Saccharomyces cerevisiae S288C: one gene and its partner. The protein of the gene in region 1 binds, or shares a complex with, the protein of each later gene. Each region holds a gene or a part of one and is shown in the gene's direction. Other genes may lie near its edges.

Region 1 (3,753 bases):
GATAATCAAAGGCAAGCTTCTTCGTAAATCTAAAGTCTGCCGGAGTTAAAGGTTTCATTATGCCAGAACAACGTGACACTGCGACACGAATACCAGTTAGCATGTTATAAGCTATAATAAAGTTGACATGGCCTTCACTGACTTTATTACCGATCAAAACACGATCGTCATCCACCAAAAATGTTTTTCTTTTCCTTTTCATTTCTCTTTTATGCAGCAAAGATTGTCTCATCTTCTTAATTTCTGCCGTTGCAGACTCTGATCTTTTCAGACCCGTAGCAGCGGTAGTAGTAGTAGTATTATTATTAACAGCAGCAGCATTAGCAGCGTGATTATGGTTGGTGCCACGACTGTGTTGATAGTAGTGGTCATTCTCTGGCGGCAAAGAAGTGGTTGATTTGGATATCATATGATATTGCTTTGACTTTTGAGAAGGTTGTGGAAGTGGGTGAAGAGGCAAAGAAGTCATTGAGTGACTAATTTTAGTAGCAGAATTTGGTTTCATGCTGGTATCTCCATTGGCCAATTTTATTACATCTGAATCATCCATAGGTAGAATTTGAGAATGCTTGGAAGCGTGAAAGGGAATATTGGGCAGGTTTGAATCCTGAGTATTTCTTCTTTGCTTAATTGTCGTGGAAGTTGCTGTTACTGCCGATATTCTGGAAGATCGCCTCGAAACGCGCTTGTTTAGTAAAATATGATCGTCATTTAAGTCTTGTATATACGAATCTGTGTGAACAAGACTGGAATTGTCCAAATCCAAACAATTATTCGAGTTTAACGAGGGTGTTGTTATTTTCTTCGACTCCTTACCTTCGGGAAAACTATATTTCTGCATTTCCTTGTTACTAGTGCTATTTGGTCGGGGAGAAGTTATGGTGTTTGGATGATCATCATCCGTATTATTATTGCTGTTGTCATGCAAAGGATCAATTGATATTGAGTAGTTTCTCTTCACCAGCCTCGAATTATTTATTGTTGGGTTTAACTCTTCAATAGAGGTCGGAGTGGAAGACTCACCATCTGACAAGCGAGGACTTTCCATGTTTGACTCCGAATTCGATGAAGAATGGTAGCTAGTGTGATTATTGCGATCCTTTTTTATTCGATGGTTCGAATCCGGATTCGAATTCGAATTCGGCACCGAACGGTCTTGATGTCGCTCAATTATTGCAGAGTGCAATAGCGATGGTTCCTGTTCTGTTTTGCGACTGGTGGATGTTGTCAGATGTAGCGGTACAACTGAAGGAGGTTGTGATCGCAAGACTGACATGAGTTAGAAACTATTGATAGGGAAAAGCGATATAGGGCAACTGTCTCGGGGGGTGTAAACAGGTTTCGTACTCTCTTGCTTATGAATGTGCTACTTCTTGTTCCTATTTTTTGTTTCTGTCCTTGTTTTTTCTTTGCTTGTCCCTCCGTATTTGCTTCTTTGTTGTCACGCTTTTGTTATTTCCACCTCTATCTTTCCTCTCTGTCCCATTCCCCATCCATTCCTTTCTTTTTTTTTTTAACCTGTGTTTTGTTTTCCCAGAATGGGCGGCACGTTCTTATGTCCGTAAAAACGGATATACAAAAGCGACACGTCGTCTGAGGTGACACTCCACTCAACCCCACTTGCCCAAAACATGCATTGCTACAAGTAGTAGAGCGCAGTTTTTAAAGTCCATTGGTTGCACACGAAATCACGAGAATAATCACGAGAATAGAATGCACGTTGGATTTCGGGCATCCTATAATTGCCAAGACTGCGCTACTTCTCTTCTGTTTCGGTCCGGGTGACACGTCCGCCGTGCTTCAAGGCGCCTTTTCACCAATGCCAGGCGGAAACTGCCGCCGTCAAAAAGAAAAATGAAAAGAACATAGAGGACAAGGACAAGAGACCAGTGATCGTAAGAAGCGCCCACCTTCGCACAGCGCACAGGAACTAGGACACTACCGCACTCAAACCATTTGCATGGACCTTAACTCACGATGCTAGACAAGGCGCGCTCTCAAAGCAAACACATGGACGAATCTAATGCGGCTGCCTCTCTGCTTTCGATGGAAACAACCGCCAACAATCATCACTATTTGCACAATAAAACATCTCGTGCCACGCTGATGAATAGCAGCCAAGACGGCAAAAAACATGCAGAAGATGAAGTTAGTGATGGAGCTAACTCCCGCCATCCTACAATTTCCAGTGCTAGCATCGAATCTCTCAAGACAACCTACGATGAAAACCCTTTGCTTTCTATTATGAAATCGACATGTGCGCCCAACAACACTCCCGTGCATACTCCGTCTGGTTCGCCGAGTTTGAAAGTCCAAAGTGGCGGAGATATCAAAGACGATCCTAAGGAAAACGATACTACTACTACGACCAATACTACACTTCAAGATCGCCGTGACAGCGATAACGCTGTGCATGCTGCCGCCAGCCCACTCGCGCCTTCCAATACACCTTCGGATCCTAAGTCATTGTGCAATGGCCATGTCGCACAGGCTACAGACCCACAAATTTCCGGTGCTATTCAGCCGCAGTATACTGCAACCAACGAGGATGTTTTCCCTTACTCCTCCACCTCCACTAATAGTAACACTGCCACTACTACTATCGTCGCCGGCGCCAAAAAAAAAATACATTTGCCGCCACCACAAGCTCCAGCGGTTTCTTCCCCCGGTACCACCGCAGCAGGCTCGGGCGCGGGCACGGGCTCGGGCATCCGTTCCCGCACAGGATCGGATTTGCCGCTCATCATTACCAGCGCCAACAAGAACAACGGTAAGACTACCAATTCGCCTATGTCGATACTGAGCAGAAACAACAGTACCAACAACAACGACAATAATTCGATACAAAGCTCAGATTCGAGAGAATCCTCTAATAACAATGAGATTGGCGGGTATTTGCGCGGCGGAACTAAGCGCGGCGGCAGTCCATCTAACGACTCTCAGGTCCAGCATAATGTGCATGATGACCAATGTGCCGTGGGCGTGGCGCCCAGGAACTTCTATTTCAACAAGGATAGAGAGATAACAGACCCAAATGTAAAACTGGACGAGAACGAATCAAAAATCAACATATCGTTCTGGCTAAATTCGAAATACAGAGATGAGGCTTATTCTTTGAATGAATCATCCTCCAACAATGCTAGTTCAAACACGGATACGCCTACAAACTCTCGACATGCGAACACCAGCTCTTCCATTACCAGCAGAAACAATTTCCAGCATTTTAGGTTCAACCAAATACCTTCTCAACCTCCAACTTCCGCATCTTCGTTTACAAGCACAAACAACAACAACCCTCAACGGAACAATATCAATCGCGGTGAAGACCCGTTTGCCACTTCGTCAAGACCTTCTACTGGGTTTTTTTACGGCGATTTGCCGAATCGTAACAATAGAAATAGTCCCTTCCATACAAATGAACAATACATCCCACCACCTCCACCGAAATACATCAATTCTAAATTGGATGGATTGAGATCAAGATTATTGCTCGGTCCGAATTCTGCATCTTCATCTACCAAACTAGACGACGACTTGGGTACAGCAGCAGCAGTGCTATCAAACATGAGATCATCCCCATATAGAACTCATGATAAACCCATTTCCAATGTCAATGACATGAATAACACAAATGCGCTCGGTGTGCCGGCTAGTAGGCCTCATTCGTCATCTTTTCCATCAAAGGGTGTCTTAAGACCAATTCTGTTACGTATCCATAATTCCGAACAACAACCCATTTTCGAAAGCAACAAT
Region 2 (3,753 bases), on another chromosome or scaffold:
ACCCATTTTATGGTGTCATCTTCGTTTTCTTTTTCCCACCATTTATATTCTTCCTCCTCCTCCTTCGCTTTCTTGTCCTCCTCTTCTTCTTCTTCTCGTTTCTTTTTTTCGTTCTCCTGTTCTTCCTTTTTAGTTGTTTTTACCTTTACATCACCATCTTCTTTCTTGATTTTTTTAGGCTTTGATGTCGCGCTTTTCTTTGCTGGAGGCGATGGTAATGACGACGATTGCACTGGTTCGGTCTTTATTTTCTTAGTCTTTTTCTTGGAAATCTTAGAGATTGCCTCATCACTATCATAAGGTTCCGCTTCGTCTTGAAGAGAGGCAGAGTTCATGGACGCCACCTTTCTTTTTTTTAAAGTTTGAGATAATGGCACATCGTCATCGTCATCAGAAGACAACTCATGATTAACTTTGGAAGCATCAGCAATAGTCATTTTTACGCGTTTCAAGTTTCGAGCTCTGCCCTCCCTTTAGATTTTTTTTATTTGCTGTTTTAATACTATAAGAATAGGACTCAGGTAATTAGAGTAACAGAGAAAACAAAAAAGAATATTGCGCTCGTGTTAGTGTTGAAACAAAAAAATACAGTTGTTCTTTACGTGCATCGATCATATAAGAAAAGGGAAAAAAGCCGTAAAGTAAAAAAATAAAGAGCTTTCCATGGCTGGTTTTTTTTCTTTTTTTTTTTTTTTTTTGAAGACTACAGCAGGTATTACCCGGAGTGAAAAAGGTTTCTCACACTAAAATTTACGTGTTCAAGACATTGAAGTTATGTATAAATATATATGAGCGTATATTATGTGTATGTCCGTTTCCATTCTGTTTAGATTTTATGGCTATAGTATTAAACTCCTATATATCAAAATGCGTCGTCGGCGGCTAGAGTTTGCAGGTTCCACTCGGTTTCGAAATTTGTCTTCAGGGCGCCAAGCTTGTTAATGATGCTGTTACAGGCGTTTTTCAAGGCATCCTTCGGGTCGTAGCCCTCGGTGGTCTGTATTCTCAGCTTGAAACGAGCGAAGAAGGGATGCTCAACCTTGTAAGCGGCAAACAGCACTTTTCTGTCGTTCAGAAGTTCTGCACGAATCAGGTTTCCCAACGTGTGGTCCTCCTTCTCAAACGTTATCACTACTGCGTTGGGGGCTTTGGTGTCGGGGTCAATCTTTAGCTTGGATTCCCCTTCACCCAGAAGGAACAGTTCGAATCTGTCTGGAGCATTCATGATGCAGTTGTGTCCAAATGTATCTGGTTTGGTGGCTACGTAGCTATCTATTTAGGCTGCACGGCTCAGTTCTCTCGCTCTTCTTTTAACGGACCTCTTGTGTGTGCCAAAGCAGTGAACCTAGAATTTTCGCGGACACTTCCACTTTATTAAGTCCGGGTAATGATAATATTGAGCTTGCAAGTTTTTTGAACTCGGATAGCAGCATTATCCATGACATGACACGGATCTACCGACGAGGCTTACCGACGAGGCTTACCGACGAGGCTTACCGTGATCCCTCTCCAGTAGTCTGTAAATTCTGTTTATAATTTAAAAAATCTATCTTCTACTCCAGTCTTGTAACTACTGTTGTTACGCGCTGCCCAGAGTGTGGCACACACTGCGGGGTTACCCGTGTAACGTAGAATAAACCAGTACGGGTAATGATATCGGATTTTCTAGTGATTTTTTTCCATTCGCAAAAAAGTCGCCTTCATTTTGCAGTTCTTCAGCAAACGTGATTTGCAAAACAACGGTTACTCCCCTTCCCTATTACATTTGTCTTCCCTTTTTCGCACCAGCATTGCTAATATTCGAGGCACCGTACCTAACTAATCAGCTCATTCACGTACCACATATTCTTTGTTACTTCCCTCCCTCCACAACAGGCTACGCTATTGACCGCTTTCAGTATAGTCTCTTTACCCTTTTGTTGTGTTCGTTTGAGGTTATTTGGAAAAGGACAAAATATCTAAGAAACAAGTTATACATTGTACAAAAATGTCACAGGTTTGGCATAATTCGAATTCGCAATCAAACGATGTGGCTACTTCAAATGACGCTACGGGTTCCAACGAAAGAAACGAAAAAGAACCGTCCCTCCAGGGAAATAAGCCCGGTTTTGTTCAACAGCAGCAACGGATTACTTTACCCTCGCTATCTGCCTTGAGTACTAAGGAGGAAGATAGAAGAGATTCCAATGGCCAACAGGCTCTAACTTCTCATGCTGCTCACATATTAGGTTATCCTCCCCCACATTCAAATGCTATGCCCTCAATTGCAACTGATTCAGCATTGAAACAGCCCCACGAGTATCACCCTCGCCCTAAATCTTCGTCCTCTTCTCCCTCTATAAACGCTTCGCTTATGAATGCTGGTCCAGCTCCCCTCCCCACAGTGGGAGCCGCCAGTTTTTCTTTGTCGAGATTTGACAATCCATTACCGATAAAAGCTCCTGTTCATACAGAGGAACCAAAAAGTTATAATGGTCTTCAGGAAGAAGAAAAGGCGACGCAACGGCCTCAAGATTGCAAGGAAGTTCCCGCTGGTGTGCAGCCTGCTGATGCCCCTGACCCTAGCAGCAACCATGCAGATGCTAACGATGACAATAATAACAACGAAAATTCTCACGATGAAGATGCTGACTACAGACCTCTAAACGTGAAGGATGCCCTATCTTACCTCGAACAGGTCAAATTTCAATTTAGTTCGCGTCCGGATATCTATAATTTATTTTTAGATATTATGAAGGACTTTAAATCTCAGGCAATAGACACACCGGGCGTTATTGAAAGAGTATCCACTTTGTTCAGAGGTTATCCAATTTTGATTCAAGGGTTCAATACTTTTCTACCCCAAGGCTATAGAATCGAATGCTCCTCTAATCCGGACGACCCCATTAGAGTTACTACACCAATGGGTACTACGACAGTAAACAATAACATCAGTCCATCTGGTAGAGGTACAACGGATGCACAGGAACTTGGTTCTTTTCCAGAAAGCGATGGAAATGGTGTTCAACAGCCCTCCAATGTGCCAATGGTGCCTTCGAGTGTGTATCAATCGGAACAAAACCAAGACCAACAACAATCTTTGCCTCTTTTAGCTACTTCTTCTGGTTTACCTTCAATTCAACAACCTGAAATGCCTGCACATCGCCAAATCCCACAAAGTCAATCTTTAGTGCCTCAAGAAGATGCTAAGAAAAACGTTGATGTCGAATTTAGTCAAGCCATAAGCTACGTTAATAAAATTAAAACTAGATTTGCCGACCAACCTGATATTTACAAGCATTTTCTGGAAATACTACAAACTTATCAGCGAGAGCAAAAGCCAATAAACGAAGTCTACGCACAAGTGACGCATCTTTTCCAAAATGCTCCTGATTTACTAGAAGATTTCAAGAAATTCTTGCCGGACTCTTCAGCTTCTGCCAATCAGCAGGTGCAACATGCTCAGCAACATGCTCAACAACAACATGAGGCCCAAATGCATGCACAGGCACAAGCTCAGGCTCAGGCACAGGCACAGGTGGAACAACAGAAGCAGCAACAGCAATTCTTGTATCCAGCTTCGGGCTATTACGGCCATCCTTCTAACCGAGGTATTCCACAGCAAAACTTGCCTCCTATAGGAAGCTTCTCGCCTCCAACAAACGGTTCGACCGTACATGAAGCCTATCAGGATCAACAGCACATGCAACCACCCCACTTCATGCCCTTACCATCGATCGTTCAACACGGGCCAAATATGGTACATCAAGGGAT

What was found. Proteins that work in one complex are often made in the same cells at the same time.
Region 2: the proteins of UME6 (region 1) and SIN3 are in contact, whole or in part, in a crystal structure (PDB 6XAW), measured with the Saccharomyces cerevisiae proteins. Residues at the interface, in NP_010493.1 of Saccharomyces cerevisiae: Asp519 (codon at 3,532), Leu520 (codon at 3,535), Gly521 (codon at 3,538), Thr522 (codon at 3,541), Ala523 (codon at 3,544), Ala524 (codon at 3,547), Ala525 (codon at 3,550), Val526 (codon at 3,553), Leu527 (codon at 3,556), Ser528 (codon at 3,559), Met530 (codon at 3,565), Arg531 (codon at 3,568); in NP_014639.1 of Saccharomyces cerevisiae: Glu407 (codon at 3,206), Phe408 (codon at 3,209), Ala411 (codon at 3,218), Ile412 (codon at 3,221), Tyr414 (codon at 3,227), Val415 (codon at 3,230), Asn416 (codon at 3,233), Lys419 (codon at 3,242), Tyr429 (codon at 3,272), Leu433 (codon at 3,284), Leu436 (codon at 3,293), Gln437 (codon at 3,296), Tyr439 (codon at 3,302), Gln440 (codon at 3,305), Ile446 (codon at 3,323), Val449 (codon at 3,332), Phe467 (codon at 3,386), Lys469 (codon at 3,392), Phe470 (codon at 3,395), Leu471 (codon at 3,398), Pro472 (codon at 3,401), Asp473 (codon at 3,404).

Annotation. Positions count from the first base shown.
Region 1 is NC_001136.10:865,747-869,499, reverse strand, and holds the start of UME6 (DNA-binding transcriptional regulator UME6), read left to right. Parts: upstream 1-1,977; coding exon 1,978-3,753. Other genes in the region: MSS4 (1-phosphatidylinositol-4-phosphate 5-kinase), read right to left, coding at 1-1,276. UniProt on the Saccharomyces cerevisiae protein: Component of the RPD3C(L) histone deacetylase complex (HDAC) responsible for the deacetylation of lysine residues on the N-terminal part of the core histones (H2A, H2B, H3 and H4).
Region 2 is NC_001147.6:314,951-318,703, forward strand, and holds the start of SIN3 (transcriptional regulator SIN3), read left to right. Parts: upstream 1-1,987; coding exon 1,988-3,753. Other genes in the region: TOP1 (DNA topoisomerase 1), read right to left, coding at 1-437; DNA-directed RNA polymerase II core subunit RPB11, read right to left, coding at 863-1,225. UniProt on the Saccharomyces cerevisiae protein: Catalytic component of the RPD3 histone deacetylase complexes RPD3C(L) and RPD3C(S) responsible for the deacetylation of lysine residues on the N-terminal part of the core histones (H2A, H2B, H3 and H4).